4 linked regions of the Saccharomyces cerevisiae S288C genome follow. Changing the gene in region 1 together with any one later gene gives a genetic interaction. Each region holds a gene or a part of one and is shown on either strand. Other genes may lie near its edges.

The links.
Region 2: mutations in USO1 (region 1) and SFB2 together harm fitness more than expected from each alone (negative genetic interaction), as found in Saccharomyces cerevisiae (3 studies listed by BioGRID).
Region 3: mutations in USO1 (region 1) and RPL40B together harm fitness more than expected from each alone (negative genetic interaction), as found in Saccharomyces cerevisiae (3 studies listed by BioGRID).
Region 4: mutations in USO1 (region 1) and BTS1 together harm fitness more than expected from each alone (negative genetic interaction), as found in Saccharomyces cerevisiae (3 studies listed by BioGRID).

The regions. Positions count from the first base shown.
Region 1 is NC_001136.10:343,763-351,584, reverse strand, and holds USO1 (Uso1p), read right to left. Parts: upstream 5,921-7,822; coding exon 548-5,920; downstream 1-547. Other genes in the region: YDL057W (uncharacterized protein), read right to left, coding at 1-151; RAD59 (Rad59p), read left to right, coding at 6,632-7,348; small subunit rRNA maturation protein TSR1, read right to left, coding at 7,600-7,822. UniProt on the Saccharomyces cerevisiae protein: Required for protein transport from the ER to the Golgi complex.
Region 2 is NC_001146.8:534,734-539,742, forward strand, and holds SFB2 (COPII subunit SFB2), read right to left. Parts: upstream 3,179-5,009; coding exon 548-3,178; downstream 1-547. Other genes in the region: YNL050C (uncharacterized protein), read right to left, coding at 1-141, 233-249; alpha-1,2-mannosyltransferase ALG11, read left to right, coding at 3,440-5,009. UniProt on the Saccharomyces cerevisiae protein: Component of the COPII coat, that covers ER-derived vesicles involved in transport from the endoplasmic reticulum to the Golgi apparatus.
Region 3 is NC_001143.9:617,458-620,657, forward strand, and holds RPL40B (ubiquitin-60S ribosomal protein eL40 RPL40B fusion protein), read right to left. Parts: upstream 1,294-3,200; coding exon 1,286-1,293; intron 918-1,285; coding exon 539-917; downstream 1-538. Other genes in the region: PTR2 (Ptr2p), read left to right, coding at 1-78; MLP1 (Mlp1p), read left to right, coding at 2,348-3,200.
Region 4 is NC_001148.4:422,355-425,898, forward strand, and holds BTS1 (farnesyltranstransferase), read right to left. Parts: upstream 1,539-3,544; coding exon 531-1,538; downstream 1-530. Other genes in the region: guanine nucleotide exchange factor MUK1, read left to right, coding at 1-432; YPL068C (uncharacterized protein), read right to left, coding at 1,861-2,742; HTC1 (Htc1p), read right to left, coding at 2,897-3,493. UniProt on the Saccharomyces cerevisiae protein: Catalyzes the trans-addition of the 3 molecules of IPP onto DMAPP to form geranylgeranyl pyrophosphate. Required for the membrane attachment of YPT1 and SEC4. May be involved in vesicle trafficking and protein sorting.

The sequences.
Region 1 (7,822 bases):
TTCTCTTTTCTGGGTATGAAACTATAGCCGCAATTTGATAAGATAAGCCGTTCATTGTACTTGTAATATATACGAATTTTTCATTTGCTTCCAATTTGATATAGGAGGGGGGAGCACTTTGTATTTGCACAGTGACATGTTTTTTTTCCATTTCGACTTGGTTATTTGACAAATATTCCCTTTTCTGATCTTTTTAGTACTTTCATCACTCCTGTAGATCTGCATCGGCTTTTCGCTATTTTTCCTTGGCTTATTATAATGCGTAAGCGTTTCTCGACAGAGATATTGCGACGCTGAGAAAAAAAAAGGAAGTTCTATGCAAGGGACATTAATGATATATTAGACAATTGTCTACGTGAGCTCACATATTGTTTGCACAAACTATACTTTAATTAGAAGGCGTGAAGTAATGTTAGATGTTATAGAAAATATAACATTTAGTGTCAGTAAAATGTATATATGCATATATAATTACAAAAAAGTAGTGCTGCCCACATAATCAAACAGATCGTTCAAGCGATTTGTTTATGCACATATTTTAACTCTATCATGCCACTTGCCCTTCTTCCTCGTCTTCTTCATCATCTTCTTCATCATCCTCTTCATCCGAACTAATTTCAACGCCCAAATCCTTCAGCTTTGAGCGATATTTGGCGTTTTTCTCATCTAGGTCAGTAACCAAGAGCATCAAGTCATCAATTTCCGAACGATCTTCGTTAGCTTCCTTCAACTTAGAGTTCTCTGCCTTCAAGTTATCCAGTTCTTTAGCCAACTTTTCAATTTCTTGTCTCTGAGAATCGGTTGTCTTTTTAACAGTATCTTCATCCCTTTTCCATGCTTGCTCTTTATTCACCAAATCGTTGTATTTAGTTTCAAGCAACATGGCTTTTTCATCAAGTTGAGACTTTTCGACTTGAAACTTCCTGACTTCGGCCCTACGTTCTTCCTCGGATTTTTGTGCCTTCTGTTGGGTGCTATCTAATTCCTGTTCTAATTCCTTGAGGCGCGAAGTTAGTAATTCTTTTTCTTCTTGATTACTTTTTATTTCGGCTTGCTTGTCTTTGAGTTCACGTTCTATATCTTCTAATTTAGATTTCAAAACTGTATTTTCTTCTGCGTTGATCCTTATTTTTTCTTGTGCGTTATTTAGCTCTTGTTTTACGGTTTCTAGTTCAGAGCCAGATTTTGCTTCGATCCTCAGTTTACTTTTCAGTTCTTCAATATCCTTTTCAGATTCGTTGATTCGGGATATCAAATCTGACTTCTCATGTTGCAAGTTTTTAATATCCTCCTCAGCACTTTTTTTCGACTGTTCTAATTTTTCATCTGATTTCCTTATGGTTTCCATTGAGGATTTCAACTCCGTTTCATTGCTCTCAATCGTACTCTCTAGCTTTTTCATCATTTCTTTAGACTTTTCAAGCTCTGCTTTCTCTTTTGAAGATTCTTCCTCAAGTTTTTTCAGCCCTTCTTCAACTTTAGCTTTGGATTCTTGTGCAGCCCGGAGTTGTTCTTTCAAGCTCTCCAGGTCTCGTTTATTATCTCGCTCTATTGATAGAAGCTTTTCGTCATTTCTAGTTATTTTGTCTTTATATGAAAGAATTTCATCTTGTAAGCTTTTTATTGTGTTTTGTTTCTCTTCTAAAAGCTCATCATTGCTTAAACTAACCTTCTCTAGTTCACTCCTCGTATTATCGATCTCTTTGGCTTTTAATTCGTTTTCATTTTGTAGCCTAATTAATTCATCTTCCAAAGTATTGATCTTTTCAGAATATTCTTGTGTAATTGTTGAAGATCCTTCATTAAGTAGCTTTCTTTCCTTTTCGAAGGCCTGATTTTTGATTTGTATTTCATTTTTCAATTTTTCCAATTGCTCCTCTGCATTTTTTCTTTCCTCAGAAGATGTCTTCTTCAATCTAGACAACTCAGATTCTGATTTCTCCTTGGCCTTAGATAAATTAGTGATCTTTTCCAATTGAATTTTTAGTTCAGTCGTTTTAGCATCTAGTTCTTCTTTTATCTTCTCCGATTCCTTCTGTAGCTCCAAATATTTAGAGTTCTTATCTTCTGAGGCCTTGAGTTTGTCTTCCAATTCACTAACTTCCTTTTCTTTAAAGTTACATTCGTCTTGTAATTCTTTAATTTTTACCGTTTCTGATTCTACACTTTTGATTGACTCCAATAAACTGGCTTCGTTCGTTTCGTTCTTCTTTTTCAGCTCTTTAATTTGCAAATTTAAGGCATCAATCTCTGACTTTTTCAAATTTGATTGTTCCTCTGAAGTGCTCTTCATTGCTTTAACTTCGCCCTCCAGTTCGTCATTTTTTTTCTTAATTGATTCATTTTCTTGTTGAGTGGAAGTAATCTCATCATTTAATTGAGATATTTCCTCGTTATATTGCCTTTCCTTGTTGGCAATTTGCTCCTCGTACTTCTTCAACTGAGCTGCTAAATCTTCATGCTCTTTTTCTAATGATTCTAAATTGGCACGTAGGCTGTTGAGTTGCTGTTTGGTTTCAGTGGCCTCCTTCTCGAGTTGAATTTTCTCTTCTTTTAAATGCTCCTCGTTTTCTTTAACTTCTTTCAAAGCTTTCTCTGAAGTTTCTAGTTTTGTTTCAAGTTCATTTTTGAGATTTTTATAAGCTGCTAACTCGGCTTCCAGCTCTTCCCTAGTTTTAGTCAATTCTGAGATTTTATTCACGTTTTCATCGTTTGCTGTTGTCGCCGTTTCTAATTTTTCTTTCAAGAGACTAATCTGGGACTCATATTCATCTTTTGAAGAATCGGATTTTGAGATAATTTCCTCCTTCGTTTGTTCTAAGTCAGAGATGGTTTTTTTTAGTTGTTCGATATTTTTTTCTATACTGCCTCTTTCTATTTGAAAATTTTCTTTTTCCTGTGACATAGAATCAATTTTATTTTGCAAATTAGACAATTGTATGCTGCTTTCGTTTTTTGACTCTTCTACAGCTTTTATTAGAGACTCATTTTCAGCTTGCATATCCTTATAGTTATTTGCTAAGGATTTCAATTTTTCTGTTAGTTTCGCTACTAGATTGTCATGACTCTGAAAGCGGGATTTGTACTCAACAAGTTCCTTCGAAATATGTTCCTTTTCTTTTGATAAATTATTACATTGAATTTTCATTTCTTCCAGATTTTCATTGATAGCTTTTATTTCAGTAATTTTTGCCGCAATATCTTCTTTTAGTGATTTAGTCTCTTTCTGATGGTTGACATTGCTTTTATCTTTTTCCTTCTGTAAATTTTTACAATTCTCCTCAACTGCTTGCATCTCTCTACTCAGAGCGAATAAATCTTTACCCATTTTGTTTATACCATCTTCTGCCTTTTTCTTTTGAGACAAAATAGTTTCAAGTCCTTTTTCTAAAGTTTTGATAGAGTCTTCTTGTTTGTGGATTGTGCTTTTGTACTCCAGTAAAGCAGTTTGATTTTCTTTGTCCTTAGTTTCCAGTACATCTCTCAGTTGCGTCATTTCATCCAAGGAATCTCTGACGTTCTTCAATTCAGTTTCCAAAATGGAAAAGTTTTCTTTCAACGAAGAATGTGAGGAATTCAAAATTTGGTATTTCTCATCCAACTCTTTGTGTTCATTAGTCAACGCAATCAATTTTTCGGTGAGGTTCTCATGGGTGCTTTCCGTTTCTGTTTGCAAAGAAGTTATCTCACCCTTCAATTTTGTACATTGCCTCTGTAATTTTTCGACTTCTTCGAAAGATATTTTATTGATTGGCTCTTCGTCAGGGTCGTGAGACAATGCAGTTCTGATCCTGTATATGTTTTCATTAAATAACTGTATGAAGTAAGTGCTGAAATAAACTTTTGGTAAACCAGTTTCATCAAGCTCCGGAGTTAGTATACTGTCTTCATTCATATCAACTTTTGAGAAATATGAATCTTTTTTAAATTGTTTGATTCGAGAAGCATAATTGTCTTTTCCCAAAGTTTTAGTGATGAATTCGAAGTATTCCTTTCTTGGGAATGGAGATTCTTTCGAGGAAAACTCGTATGCCACACCTAGTAACATTGTTACAAGGCATTTGATAGTAACGTCTTCATCTTGAATTTGGTAAGAGAAGGAAAGCAAGGATTTAATCACGGATTTATCCGAAAGAAAATCGTTCGTGGCCTTAAAGTCGCCAAAGAGCCAATATATTAGGAACGTTAAGTAGGAAATAGGAATTCTTATGTCAGCAGCAGTAAGGGAAGTAGTTAGCAATTCACTTATTGTTTGAATTGCCTTTAAGGGTTCTTCGTCTTCGAGATCGTTACCGGTGGTAACATTTCTTGTTATTTCACGTAGTTCTTCGCTATATTTGTGATCCTGTTGGAAAAAAAACATAAAAATATCAGTTGTGAAGAATAATTTAAAAGGGTTCAGATTCAATTCTGCGTCATAATTTAACAGGACTTCGAATAGATTTGCCTTGAAAGAACCTTCATATTCAGTGCCATCCTTCCCGTCGGTATCTTTATCTGAATCACTTTCTTTATCAGATTTGTTAGAACCACCATTTTCTTTAGCATTGTCGCCGACATTATTTGTTGAATTATTACACAATTGGACTTGTTTTAGTAAAAAATCTCTTTGAAGATCAAAATTATCCATGAAATAAGCCTTTAATAGTCTAGAACACGCAACTCTTGTATCAAACGTGTGAACGGAGTTGGCATAGAGCATCCAATTTATCAAGATGCTGACTACAGGAATTAATTTAATTGGACCACCGTTTGCAGTAGAGTTTACAGGTAATGAAGGATCGAAATATGGAACATCGATCTTACTAAACTCTAGCTGTGCATGTTCATTACTTCTAACCATGTTTGCGGCAGTCAAAAGAGCAACCGGTCTAACTTTTTTTGGGATATTATGAAAGAATGCAAGTCGCAACACAACCATTAATACGCTTGAGTCAAGCAACGCATTTTGATGCTTAGTGGTGACAGTATTTCCTGGCTCTACTGTTAGGCTGACGATATCTAAAGCTGTATTGATATTAACTATCCTTTGATCATTCCAAAAAAAAACTTCATCTTGAGATATTGGTTCACTCAAAAGGTGTGCCAGTTTTGGCAAGTTTCCTGTCTCAAGGAATAAAGTTTGATTAGAAGTGTTATACTTCAGGATGTTATTGATCAACGATAAACAATCATTGACGACGAGAGAGCCTCTTAACCCACCTTCTTCTTCGATGATGGAAAAGAGCCTTTCAAAAATGTTTTCAAAAGCAACCAATTTTTGAACGTGAGGTGAATCGTTCACTACTGCCATTAATAATAAAATAGCTTCATCCCTGATGGGCTCATGCATGTCATCTAGGAGTGAGACCATTGTGGATATGCTCGTTGGAAGTGAAATCAAAGCACTTCTCGCCTTCAACGGCCTCGTGGCCATCACTGCCTCTAGTAATTGAATTGTGTACAATCTAATATGGAAATTATCGATTTCCCAAAATTCAACAAGTAGGTGAATTAAATCTTCAGACTGCGTCAAAGCATCAGCAATCCATAACGAGAACTGATCTACTTGTTCCTTTTCTTGCTTCATCACCAATGGTGAGGGATACTTGCCATTCTGCAACCGCGATTGTTGAGAAATCCAACCTCTAGTTAAGTCGTCATGGCCATCGCCTCTGATGAAAAGAATCAAAATTGTTTCTAATATAGCCTTTACCGAATCTTCATCCATATAATCACGTTTCAAAGTATTGAGCAACGGTTTTAGCCCGGATGCAATCACTGATTCTCTATACTGCCGGCTAAATGCCTTTAATCCCAGCACAGCGGATCTCCTATCGCTAATCAAAGTGGAGTTCTCAACTCGATCGCACAACGTCGGAATGGTTTCATCCACAGATTGAATTTTTGGTTGCTGTATCAGTCCTTGAATGATGTCCATTCTTGATAGGAGGGTTGTTATAGATATTAATCACTCGAAGTCGTGAACAAGAATTGTCTTCTCTCCAGTATTCAGTCTCTGTGATGTCTAAACCCTGTTAATGTGCAAGGTCTATTTTTTTCGTAAGAACCACGCGCTTTAGGCTTTATTTCTGGTAATAATAGCAAGAAATAAGAACAGACAGTTGCAAATCTAAACGACTGTCCAAACGAAAGTATCAAGTTCGCTAAATTTACTTCGAAGACAGAAGCCAGTAAATTTTGTTTTCTTCATGGAAATAGTTTCCAAAAAGTTCTTAGTAATTACCATATGTTCTTGTATGTGGCGCTGCGAAAGAAAGGTTAGCCGACCGGCATCACCCATAATTGTATAATATAGCAATGAAGCAACTTGTTGAAGTTTTCTTTAAAGTACTATAGTATTGAATAATATCATGTTCACTTGATAAAATTGGGTATTTTATTGACCATTATATCGCGTTGGACACTAATGTCTTTCAAGTTGGTGTCACGTCACGTGCTTTTCAATGTACTGGGGCAAATTGATTAGAGGAAGCCACAGTTTGGCAAGGGCAGATATGATAGGAAGCAGTAACGGCAAGGAAGGATAAGAACATCATTGAGGGAGTCTGTGGCAGTTTAGCACATGCTTTGGACCATTAAAGGGTTACGTAGAGGAGAAGAGCATATTTCAGGATAAACAGACAAAATAATGACGATACAAGCGAAGCCCAGTTCGAGCATATCGTATGATTCGACTACATACGGCACAGCACCGGGCTTGGATATAAAAGAGTTCCAAATCATCGAAGATTGGAATGGAAGACCTGCCAGCGCTTGGTCGGTGCAGAGGATTGGGCTTCTACAGTCCAAGATCGAAAGGTACACGTACAATATTTACCACAATAATAAATATGGGAAGCACAACTTATCTAAGCTGATACCAGGGCATGCTCTCATTCAGTTCGCTAATGAAACATTCGGGTATGATGGTTGGCGAATGGATGTTATAGATGTTGAGGCCCGGGAGTGCCAGCCCTTCACCGCAGTAAATAATGGAGAAAACACCAACACTAGTGAGGTCAAGTATACAGTTGTGGCAGAAGCCCAAGTAAAGGTTACCTTAAAGGATGGCACCAACACACAGTGTGGTGGGCTAGGTAGAATTACTTTGTCCTCGAGAGGTGAATGTTATAACAGGTCGAAAAAAGAGGCTGTAGGCGATGCGTTAAAGAAGGCGTTATTGAGCTTTGAAAAAATCATACTCGATTATGAGACTAAGATTACAAATAATTACTATGTCGATGGCTTGTATGGCTCAAAAAAAATTAAAAATGAAGCTAACACCAATTACAACTTATTGTCAGCGACTAATAGCAAGCCGACTTTTATCAAATTGGAGGATGCTAAAGGCACGCATATCAAATAAAAAAAAAAAGAAAGAAAAAGGGCACAAGTAGCAAATTTATTTTGCTTGATAAAAAGTCATAATTTTCACATAATGCATTAATACCTCTACAAAATAAGTGGCATTTGTATTTGATGCGAACGGAACAGGTATCGACTTACCTTTATCAACAGTATCGTTGATACTATTTTATTAGCATTATATTATACAAATAGATCTCACGTACTTATATATATATATATATATATATATACGTGTATATTTTTATCACTTTACATACCATTCCAAGGTAACGAAGGCATGGGCCACATACGTTTGTACAAGGACATAGCAACAACATCCTGCGCAGATAATTTACCATCAAATGTAGCCTTGAAATAACCATGCGTACCCAAACTTTCTTTAATGAAACCTGACCTACCTGATTTGGTGAACAGTGGGATAGACTTGAACCATTCCACATCTTCTGGTCTGAAAAACATGTAACGTACAGTA
Region 2 (5,009 bases), on another chromosome or scaffold:
GTTCTTTCAACTTCAACGAATTCAAATTCTGTTGGCGGTACTAATACCTCTACATGCTCACTATTATTTTTACTACTACTATTGGAATCATAATCTTCTCCTAATCCCTCTCCTTCATTATAAAGATCTTTTCTTGATACTCTGCAAAATAATTAGAATATTAAACGATTCGTTGAAAAGTTAGTAAAAAAATGAAATTAGAGGCAAACTTGTATCTTATGTCAAAGCATACATCTTAAATTCAGACATTTTTATACTGAATTTCAATGTTTTTCTTTTTTTTTCATTAGAGGAGATTTTTCCATTGCTGTTTAAATGAAACTGGTCGTATTTTAAGTACTTCAAATTTTTCTTTTTCGTACTGATCCGATGACTTGAAAATACTTATTTTTTATGTAGGAACAGAATGGCATTTTTGAAGTACATAACTCTCACACGCAAAGGCCAAAATCTTTCACGATTTACTTTTATTTCTATCTGTATTGTATATCAAAATCTATACATGATGATCGGTTAATAAAGATAAAGATTAAAGAAAGACTGATTGTTATCTGTTGATACTAGTCTTCATACTCTGTAAGTATTCTCTATAACTAGCACAATTTAAAACTTTGTCTTCGACAAGAGTACTTAATACCCATAGCCTTAAAGAAGCCATATCTTTTTCGGAGTTTAGGTTGGCGGGCTCGTTAATAGATGGTCCTCTTATTATGTATAATGATTGAAATGTGATTGTATCATTGTTTTCTCTAATTCTACCGATTATCCTCCTTAGTCTTTCATTGAAAGGCGAATCGTTCAAAAGAGGCAGTTCACTTTTCCCCACAGGAATTTGAGATATGGTGTCAGTATTGAATACATCTATTAGTAACTCAGGAACAGCATCTCCGCCAACCCATAAAAATAATTCTGCGGAATTGTCAATTAAATACAGGCCATATCTTTCGAAAAGAGATATAGTGGCATTTATAGGTTCAGGAAGAACCGTTTTTCCTTCAAAGTCAGGTAGACCGACTTCGTCGGGCATGTCGTGCAGGGAGTAAACTGTAGGGTAAATGCTCTTTATCAAATAATGAAGAGGCTCCGTTTCCAATCTATTCAACGCACTTGCACGGTAATCGCTTGGAACAACGCCCGGTCTGAGGGCTATATGTTTACTTAGTCCATTCATTAATAGAGGTAACATTCTCAAATTTGCGCATAGGTTAAGTGAGGTTACTGAATTTATATTAGACATCGAAATTTCTTTTTTGTAGGCATTTAAAATATCTTCGAGCGATTTTGTGATAAAATCCCTCGCAGAGTACATGCTTGAATTCAAAGCCTTAGTCACCGCGTTTTGTGTCATGAAATCAGTAATGGCTAGTTGATCTGCGGATGCAAACACTTCCCTAGCTGATTCGGACGTTGGTAGAGCTAACGTCATGACTCTAATTCTACGTTCACCAGTGTTTAGAGTCAACAATGTTGACACTTGCAAGTAGCAATATTCTGCCATTAATGAGTCTTCGATGGATATCCCGAAAAGATAAGACTGATCTCTAGGCATTGTGGAAAAAGCGCATAAATCAGAGGATCTGTTAAAAAAATGGCCAAAAAACGATGTGGCCCTCAAGCCAGTAGAACAACGAACTCTCATAACAGCTTCCATTGAAATATCCATGGATAAATGCCTTGATAATTCCCTAGTAAACTTAGTAACATCGTTCAAACTGGTGGCATTAAAACCAGGATAAAAATGTGTTTGACCACCAGAAAAACGGCCCAGGTGAGATAGAGTGGCAACGTCCATGTAGTCCTCTGATGCCAGAAACATGTCCACTGTTATTTGTAGTTTATTACACTCAATTGTGAATGTTTTATAAAAGGAATCTTTACACGACAGTAGCTGAGAGCTTTCTTTTGGTGTGTTTAATATGCCCTGTTCACTTCTTTTTTTCAATTTCCCGATGCCAGTATTTGGTAAAGTTGATGAAATGACTTCAACTTTGCCTCCAGTGCTTTTTATCAAATTTGACGCAGCTTTTAGGGCAGGTCCAAGTGCAAACTTGCTACTGTGTGTGTCTTGAAAAATTTCAGGTATCTTTTTCAACAATGTTTCCAGATTATTTTTACAATATTTTAGTGGAACTACTAATTCATCACTCGGCATTGGTAAAAATGGTTCATCCAAATCGCCAATATCAAACATTTGAATTGTTTCTGAATTATCAACGTCTTCCTCTTCCTCGTCTTCATCTTCTTCTTCACCATCTGATTCTTCATCATCCTCATCCGATACTTCATAATCATCATCCAAAGGAACGTAAAAATAATGAAGGCTATGATCAACACATATAATAGCAATTCTGGTCCTTCCATCATGATTTGGTAGAAATTCTATGTTTTCTAAAATGGTTCTGGCAGAAGTAGCCAATAAACCATTTTTGACAGCGTTTTGAGAAACATCTAAAAGAAATACATAAACAGATGGTGGGGGTTCCCTAACAGAATATTCTACGGGAGCCAAGTAATCCACGACAGAGTTTTTAATTTCGTTTCTTTCATATCTGTTGATTGGAGCGCCTTGTAAGTTCTGATCAAACCCAAATGGGACATCATTTTTGAAACGGCATATATTACATTGCCATTTTCTCCCTTGGTTAATGAAAACGACAAAAGGGTTCATATATGAACGACAACGGCGACAGCGGACAATGACTCCGTCAGTATTTAGCGGTACTTGGTTGTCTGAATCTTGCAAATGCAAATATGGTCTAATAACAATGGCAAATGGTAACTTCGTTTTCTTCAGCAGAGAGTTTGTTTTTGGCACCGCTTTCAAAGTAGATCTGACGTACTGGTATGGAACATTTGAATATTCGGATGGAGTCACAATGTTATCCTGAGAAATGGTGATTGGAAGAGGTGGTAAAGACAGGTCACGGATTGGCGGAGGTAATTCTGTAAACAAATCCACAGGGTATAGTTGATTGACCACTTTCCCAGAACCAGGAAACTGTTGATTTTGAGCTAGCTGTGTAAATGAGTTAGCCCTATTGTTCAATTGTAGGTTGCCCATTGCATAAGCTGTTTGGTCGATTTGTTGTTGAGACTGCTGTTGCTCTGCAACTATTGGCATACTTGCAATGTATGGCACCTGAGCTTGAGGGTACACCCTCTTCTTATGATGAGACATTATTCACTGCAGCTGTCGATCATTAATGGAAGAAGGTTCATCAACCAAGCACACTGCAAATGAAGGGTTAGATGAAGAGTTCGACGAAGACCCTTTTAACTGACGTATCATTCATCGTTGTCATCGCTACATCTATGTCCTTCGGGTAAGCTAAACAAAAAGTGAAAAGTTCAATAAATAATAAGATTGAGAGGTAAGTGAAGTGAAGATAGATGTTAGTATCCAAGTGTGACCAACATGTTCAGGTGATTGCAGGCGAAAATGGGCAGTGCTTGGACAAACTACAATTTTGAAGAGGTTAAGTCTCATTTTGGGTTCAAAAAATATGTTGTATCATCTTTAGTACTAGTGTATGGACTAATTAAGGTTCTCACGTGGATCTTCCGTCAATGGGTGTATTCCAGCTTGAATCCGTTCTCCAAAAAATCTTCATTACTGAACAGAGCAGTTGCCTCCTGTGGTGAGAAGAATGTGAAAGTTTTTGGTTTTTTTCATCCGTATTGTAATGCTGGTGGTGGTGGGGAAAAAGTGCTCTGGAAAGCTGTAGATATCACTTTGAGAAAAGATGCTAAGAACGTTATTGTCATTTATTCAGGGGATTTTGTGAATGGAGAGAATGTTACTCCGGAGAATATTCTAAATAATGTGAAAGCGAAGTTCGATTACGACTTGGATTCGGATAGAATATTTTTCATTTCATTGAAGCTAAGATACTTGGTGGATTCTTCAACATGGAAGCATTTCACGTTGATTGGACAAGCAATTGGATCAATGATTCTCGCATTTGAATCCATTATTCAGTGTCCACCTGATATATGGATTGATACAATGGGGTACCCTTTCAGCTATCCTATTATTGCTAGGTTTTTGAGGAGAATTCCTATCGTCACATATACGCATTATCCGATAATGTCAAAAGACATGTTAAATAAGCTGTTCAAAATGCCCAAGAAGGGTATCAAAGTTTACGGTAAAATATTATACTGGAAAGTTTTTATGTTAATTTATCAATCCATTGGTTCTAAAATTGATATTGTAATCACAAACTCAACATGGACAAATAACCACATAAAGCAAATTTGGCAATCCAATACGTGTAAAATTATATATCCTCCATGCTCTACTGAGAAATTAGTAGATTGGAAGCAAAAGTTTGGTACTGCAAAGGGTGAGAGATTAAATCAAGCAATTGTGTTGGCACAATTTCGTCCTGAGAAACGTCATAAGTTAATCATTGAGTCCTTTGCAACTTTCTTGAAAAATTTACCGGATTCTGTATCGCCAATTAAATTGATAATGGCGGGGTCCACTAGATCCAAGCAAGATGAAAATTATGTTAAAAGTTTACAAGACTGGTCAGAAAATGTATTAAAAATTCCTAAACATTTGATATCATTCGAAAAAAATCTGCCCTTCGATAAGATTGAAATATTACTAAACAAATCTACTTTCGGTGTTAATGCCATGTGGAATGAGCACTTTGGAATTGCAGTTGTAGAGTATATGGCTTCCGGTTTGATCCCCATAGTTCATGCCTCGGCGGGCCCATTGTTAGATATAGTTACTCCATGGGATGCCAACGGGAATATCGGAAAAGCTCCACCACAATGGGAGTTACAAAAGAAATATTTTGCAAAACTCGAAGATGATGGTGAAACTACTGGATTTTTCTTTAAAGAGCCGAGTGATCCTGATTATAACACAACCAAAGATCCTCTGAGATACCCTAATTTGTCCGACCTTTTCTTACAAATTACGAAACTGGACTATGACTGCCTAAGGGTGATGGGCGCAAGAAACCAGCAGTATTCATTGTATAAATTCTCTGATT
Region 3 (3,200 bases), on another chromosome or scaffold:
CCAATTTCCGCACCTAAAGCTAACGATATTGAAATATTAGAACCAATGGAAAGTCTAAGATCCACCACCAAATATTAGTGCGTTTAATTAACTTACTGTCTTTTTTTTTTTTTTTTTTTTAACCATATTACGTTGACGGGAGTTTTCTGTGCTGCTGTTATTTGTTTCACAGAACTCTCTCCTCTTCCATTGCTATCGAACAGATAAAATGGAATTTCTTTATGTATAATTACTATTGTATAATATTCAGTAAATCTAAATTTTAAGCTCATATATCTAAACACTACAACATGGAAGCAGCTTGTCCTCTTCAGGCTCACTGTATCCGTTTACTCTTATTTCGCGTATTTGCATACCATTATCTCAAATGACTTGTTATTATATCTTGATATATATTGTATTATAGAACAATTTGTGAAGAGAGGTCCATATTAAGATTTCCTCCCATTTACAAATAGAATAGAAAAGGAAATATATATGTAGTAAAAAAATCGTGATGTATACAAACTTTGGATTTGTGGAGATCGTAATAAATCGATTATTTCAACTTCTTCTTTGGACGCAATTGGTTGGTGTGACCACACTTTCTCTTTCTACAGTTGGTAGCTCTTGGTGGTAATCTGGCGTAACATTTACGACAAACAGATTTGTCACAGTTGTATTTGGAAGCCAAGGCTTTCAAAGATGGTTCAATGATACCACCTCTTAATCTCAAGACCAAATGTAAAGTGGATTCCTTTTGGATGTTGTAGTCAGATAGAGTTCTACCGTCTTCCAATTGCTTACCAGCAAAGATCAATCTTTGTTGGTCAGGTGGGATACCTTCCTTGTCTTGGATCTTGGACTTGACATTGTCAATGGTGTCAGAAGATTCAACTTCCAAAGTGATGGTCTTACCAGTCAAAGTCTTAACGAAGCTGTACAAAATTGGAATAAGTTCATTTATGGAGTAAGCACAGACGTGCGTGCGTACATCATAAAGAAAGAAACTTCACGTTAGTAAAAAATATTTTTTATGCGACCAAGTAAATATAACTATGTTATGCAAAATAAGATGGAACAAACAAACCCTTCAGCACATATGCGACATTTTCAATTTGCTCTACAGATTTAATGTAAACTCAGAAGCTTGCCGCAGGTAATAGTTTTTCTCAATTGCTACTTGTTTAATAAATTGTGAGCTTGTCAATCATTTTCCATTTATGTCTTTCGTTTATGGCTTTTTTGCTATCGTATAATCCTCATATTATTTCGAACATAGTATTCTGTATTCGCCGTAACATACATTTGCATTTTGAACCTTTGGTGGCTTTACCTCTTGCTGAACGGGAAAAAGTGATATATAAGGTTGCTCTTATTTGTGTATTTGAGATTATGAGTTGCATACCCATAATGCCTGGGATAGATGGGTAATGGCTAGTATGAGGCGGATCATATGGCGGATTATCCGCCATATCCTATTGCGGTACTTCAGAATCTGAAAAACATGAAAAAAAAAAAAAAGTTCAGCAAAAATGGAAAGATTGCACCCAGACAACTACACAAATCTATTAGAGGCACGGATGGAAATAGTATTTAAAAAGGATTGTCGAAAGATGATATGGCCTCCGATGAGAAGAAAGGCGGCTATCCTCATCCACATATAGAACACAAATGAATGCCAATAGGTAATAAATCACTAAATCTACTAGTTTGTAAAAGGTTCGAAATAATATGTCATAAATTTCGCTGTTACCTTATTGCTCAGGCGCTTAACGCCAAATTGCATTGCCCATCATTGAAGAACACAACCTAACGCGTTAATATCTCAAGCAATGAATTCAAGTATCCCTATGCAAGAATTTAAAAATTTCTCTCTCTATTTGAACTGAACCAGCATTTTTTATATCTCTCCACATATCGCAGAAAGCTTTTCTACTCTCAAGAAAAAATTGAGGGATGGGTCAACCTTCCATAGATTCTATATGGAATAATAAAATTTACTTCTTACTAACATTATATCAGGGTGAATATTACTGACAAAAATAATAACTTAAGTCTTCTTTATAATATGATGATCGACGCGCGGGGTAACGCGCTCTTCCCATCTTTGTTTCCTTTCATTCCTCTTGACATGACAACAAGAGTATATGGGAAAAGAAAACTGGAAGGCAAATTGAATACAGACAGAGATATCAATAAAAGTGGTCCATTGAGTCTTACGGCGCCGGAGAGATACGCTCCATTTACAATATTTACTGATAGATATATTGCTGCCTGTCTATTTTTCCATCTCTTGTGCTGACTAGGACTTAACTGATACTCGCCGAAGCTACACAAATAGTCAGTAACGCCACGTTTTAGGATAATGTCGGATCATGATACTCCAATGGAAAGCATACAAAATGGTGAAAATTCAGACGAAAGATTGAACGCCATTGCGTCTTTTTTCGGTTGCTCTTTAGAGCAGGTTAAATCATTTGACGGTGATGTGGTAAAACACCTTAACGATAAACTTTTACAGTTTAATGAACTTAAATCGGAGAATCTAAAGGTTACCGTCTCATTCGATGAATTGAAGGCTAGTTCTTTAAAGAAAATTGATGGTTTGAAGACAGAAATGGAAAACGTTATAAGAGAAAATGATAAAATCCGAAAAGAGAGGAATGATACTTTTGTTAAGTTCGAATCTGTAGAAAATGAAAAGATGAAATTATCAAGTGAGCTAGAGTTTGTGAAAAGGAAGCTCGATGATTTAACTGAGGAGAAAAAGGAAACCCAGAGTAATCAACAGCGAACCCTGAAAATACTGGATGAAAGACTAAAAGAAATAGAATTGGTCAGGGTTGAGAATAATCGCTCCAATAGTGAATGTAAGAAACTACGCTCTACAATAATGGATTTAGAAACAAAACAACAGGGCTATATTACTAATGACCTGAATTCTAGAACTGAACTGGAAAGAAAAACACAAGAATTGACTTTATTGCAGTCAAATAATGATTGGCTAGAAAAGGAGCTACGTTCAAAAAATGAACAGTATCTCTCCTACAGACAAAAAACCGACAAAGTAATTCTAGATATCAGGAATGAATTAAATCGTTTAAGGAATGATTTTCAAATGGAAAGAACGAATAATGATGTTTTGAAGCAAAAAAATAACGAATTGTCAAAATCTTTACAAGAAAAACTACTGGAAATCAAGGGTCTATCCGACTCCC
Region 4 (3,544 bases), on another chromosome or scaffold:
GTTACAAGATCGAATTCGTATGATGGCTTCAGGACCGTTTTTGATTCATCATTAAAAAATATCATCGGAAAAATTAGGTCATATACTCCACCACATCCTAACAATACTAGCAATAATAACCTTCACAGTAGCAACAACTTAAACATACCACGAAGTTCGTCTCAATTATCCATGGAATTGAGCAATAGAGATACAACAGAGATGTCTAGGGATGGCTCACGATCAACTTCATCATCTTCACGATCTTCAGCATCTTTAGAGCACGGAAATCGCGAATTTACCGGCGATTTGACAGTAACCGCTAGCATTAACGGTGCTGATAAAAAGGAGTTTCAGAAATCGTGGAAAAAATATAAAGGCTATAAATTTGAAGATTTGACTATTTGCGAACTAAGAGATCTTTTTGAGATATATCAAAAGATGATGCAATGAAACGTATATATGAAATCGTATGTATAGATGCGAAAGAGGAGGAGAGAAGGCTTTATTTCTGACTATCTTCCTCCACTAATTTGATTGATCAATTTATTTCACAATTCGGATAAGTGGTCTATTATATATAACAATTCGTCATGTAAATTGGTGGCGGTGTCGGAATGCGAAGCCAAATCAGGTAAATACTTATTTTCATTATCATTTTTTATCATATTCACTAATTGATTAATAAAATTTTTGGTGTAGGCCAATGAATTGGTGTCGAATTCCAGTATTTGAATCAGCTTTAGTTTTATATCTTTATCACTTGTCCTCAACAGGAGAATTCTTAGAATTTCATTGTGTTGCTCAGTTTGACCTTTCGTTTTAGTGAAGTTAAGGGCGTGGACGATGGGAAAAGATAACTTCCCCTCTGTAATGTCCTCAGCAAAGCCTTTTTCGCTGGACATTTGGAAATCTTTCAAATTCAAGTAATCATCTCTAATCTGATAAATAATACCCAGAAGATTTATGAAAGGAACCAACGAATGGCCGTGGTGTGAGGAAGGAGACAGCGCTTCCATGAGTCTCAACGTTAATCTGAAAAGGCCGCCTGTTTTATTCATAACCATATTCAAATACATCTCCTGAGTAGGTATGATTTCAGGCAGAAAGTCTCTCCAGTATATATCCAAGCCTTGTCCCCTATGTAGATTGATCAATTCTTCGTTGAAAATCGTAATCAAATTATGATACAAAGGCTCTTTTGTGGTTAGCTGCGATACAAGTTGCATGGCTCTGAAATACATATAATTTGCGGTGTTTATAGTGGAGGGTACACCGAAGATTAAGTGAGAAGTGGTCTGTCCCCTTCTCAAGGGAGCATTATCTTCTATATCGTCGATTAAAAGGCTGGAATTATGCAAGAGCTCAACAATTTGCGAAACTATGGCCAGCTGGTCTTTGGGCAAATTCATAACTCTGTTAATTTGAACTATTAAATTTAGTCTAAAGTTCTTGCCAGGTTTCAAAAGGATGTGATTATAAGGTTTTGAAATCAAGCTTTCATTTTGGCTGGACCAAACAGGATCATTATTGATCAGCTCATCTATCTTGGCCTCCATTGATTTTCCAGACTCGTAAACGCTTTGTTCTCTTTCTATTAGTAGCTTCTTTGAAAATGAGCCTTACATGGTTTTGTAAGCACATCTGTCTTGACTTTTTTTTTGCTTCAAAAAAACGTCAAAGAAGGCAAGGCGAAGCAAAGAAAAATGGTAGTAAGCATACAATGATCAGCATAACATATGCAAAAACACGTAATTTCTGCTATGCTGGAAGCGGTGAACGTTGGATACCACTATAATAATAGAAGTTTACCTTTCAGTATGAAAATGCGGGCTTGTCCTATATCTATATGTAATATTATGGAGTGAGTAGAGATGGCGGCTATACATCGTTGTAGAGAGTTATATCTGTATTGTTAATTAAAGATTGGCCAGGCGAAGGTTGGTTCCTTTTTGCTTTAAATCTGCTTTTATGGGGCCATACCAGAGAATTATTTCTTTCTTTCAGTATTGGCTTGTCAAGCTTTTTGATAATGCTATTAAGTGTCAGCGAATTCGCCGTAGTTTGCAACGCTGTGTTGTTTGTATGGCAATTGTTATTATATACTTCCAAATTAATCAAATCTACCAGGTTAATAGAATGCAAATTCGCTATCTCATGGATGATGTCATTGTGGTAGGCAGTGCCGCTGTGACTGGGGTGGCTAAATGGAGGTTTCCTCTCAGCTAGCATTTTTTTCAATTTGTCTGAGTGCGCTTGAGAGGAGGCCTTTAATTTGGAAGTAGTGACTGGTCTTGTCTTCGAGTCACTGTTTAATTGCTCGAATGAATATAATAGGTTTACGATGTTTTGTAGGAGTTTTAGATCATTGGGCAGCCTTAACATTTCGAAATTTTTCAAGCCGGCGAGAGTCGGCTTATGTATATCTTTATAAAATAATCTTTGTTGTCTTTTGATGAGATTGGACAAATTTTTCTGAACTTCCAATACAGAGATCTTTTCGGGATCATCATCAGGTGAAGATAGGCTGGCGCTATTGTGGAATTTAGGGCGCTGCAGAGGCTTAGGTATTATTATATTTGAGGTGCCCAGTGTTGTGGTTGTGGCTCGAATAGCTGGACTAACCATGTTTTGTGCGACTACTTTACGCTTCTTAGGGACAATAATGGATGGTACCGCTGCCGTTGTGGTTGAAGGAGGATCGGACGTCTGATTTCTCCCTGAATAGTCAACCCTTTTTCTTTTCCTGAGTTGCATATGCATATTATATTGTATGTGCTTGTGTAGGTAGAAGCGTCTTTTATTTATCTACTGTCTCATCAGCTCATCGCATCATTAATACCAGTATCGGTTATAGTACATAATTAACAAATGTATGTAGCATTTTGGCATGCTGAAAAAAAAAAAAAAAACTTTATCAGGCAAGTGGCTCGAAACCGTGTGAAAGGATATCATCAACGGTCGTTTTTACCTGTTCCGCGGAATAGCGTTCCCGTGGGAAGAAAAGCAGCACGTGAGCGTGGAAAATCCGGGCAACACTTTGTAGTTCCGGGTAGTTGACAAACCAGGCCACGTGACCCGAGCTTAGAAGTGGACGCAGTAGCGGCTGTGCCTGCAAAAATGCATTCATGCGAGCGCGGGCCGCTTCGCGCACGGCCTTATCTGGGGAATGTACTGGCAGGGCAACCTTGGACCAGAGAACAAGGTGTACAACACCAGGCTCGAAGTTATACGGGAAATCGTTGGCACGCACAGCATATAGAGTAGAAGAACTAAAAGCCTTCGCGGCAGCATTTTCGAGCTGCGGTTCGTCTAGCGACCAGCCTAGTTTTTGCAAAACGTACTGGTTCATGTCCAGGCCAGCAGTCCTTTTCTTATGCTCGTGGTATTTGTCAGTCATCTGGCGACTTCGTTTCAAACGGGCAAGCTCCCCCGATTCAATTATCTCTTTGATTTGTTCCCACTTCCACCCTTGGGCCTCCTCCTGGTGATCGTTGACGATATCTTGTTGCATTGTAAACCTAAGCTGTTATAAGTAAATCAAGTGCAATACAAATATATACAG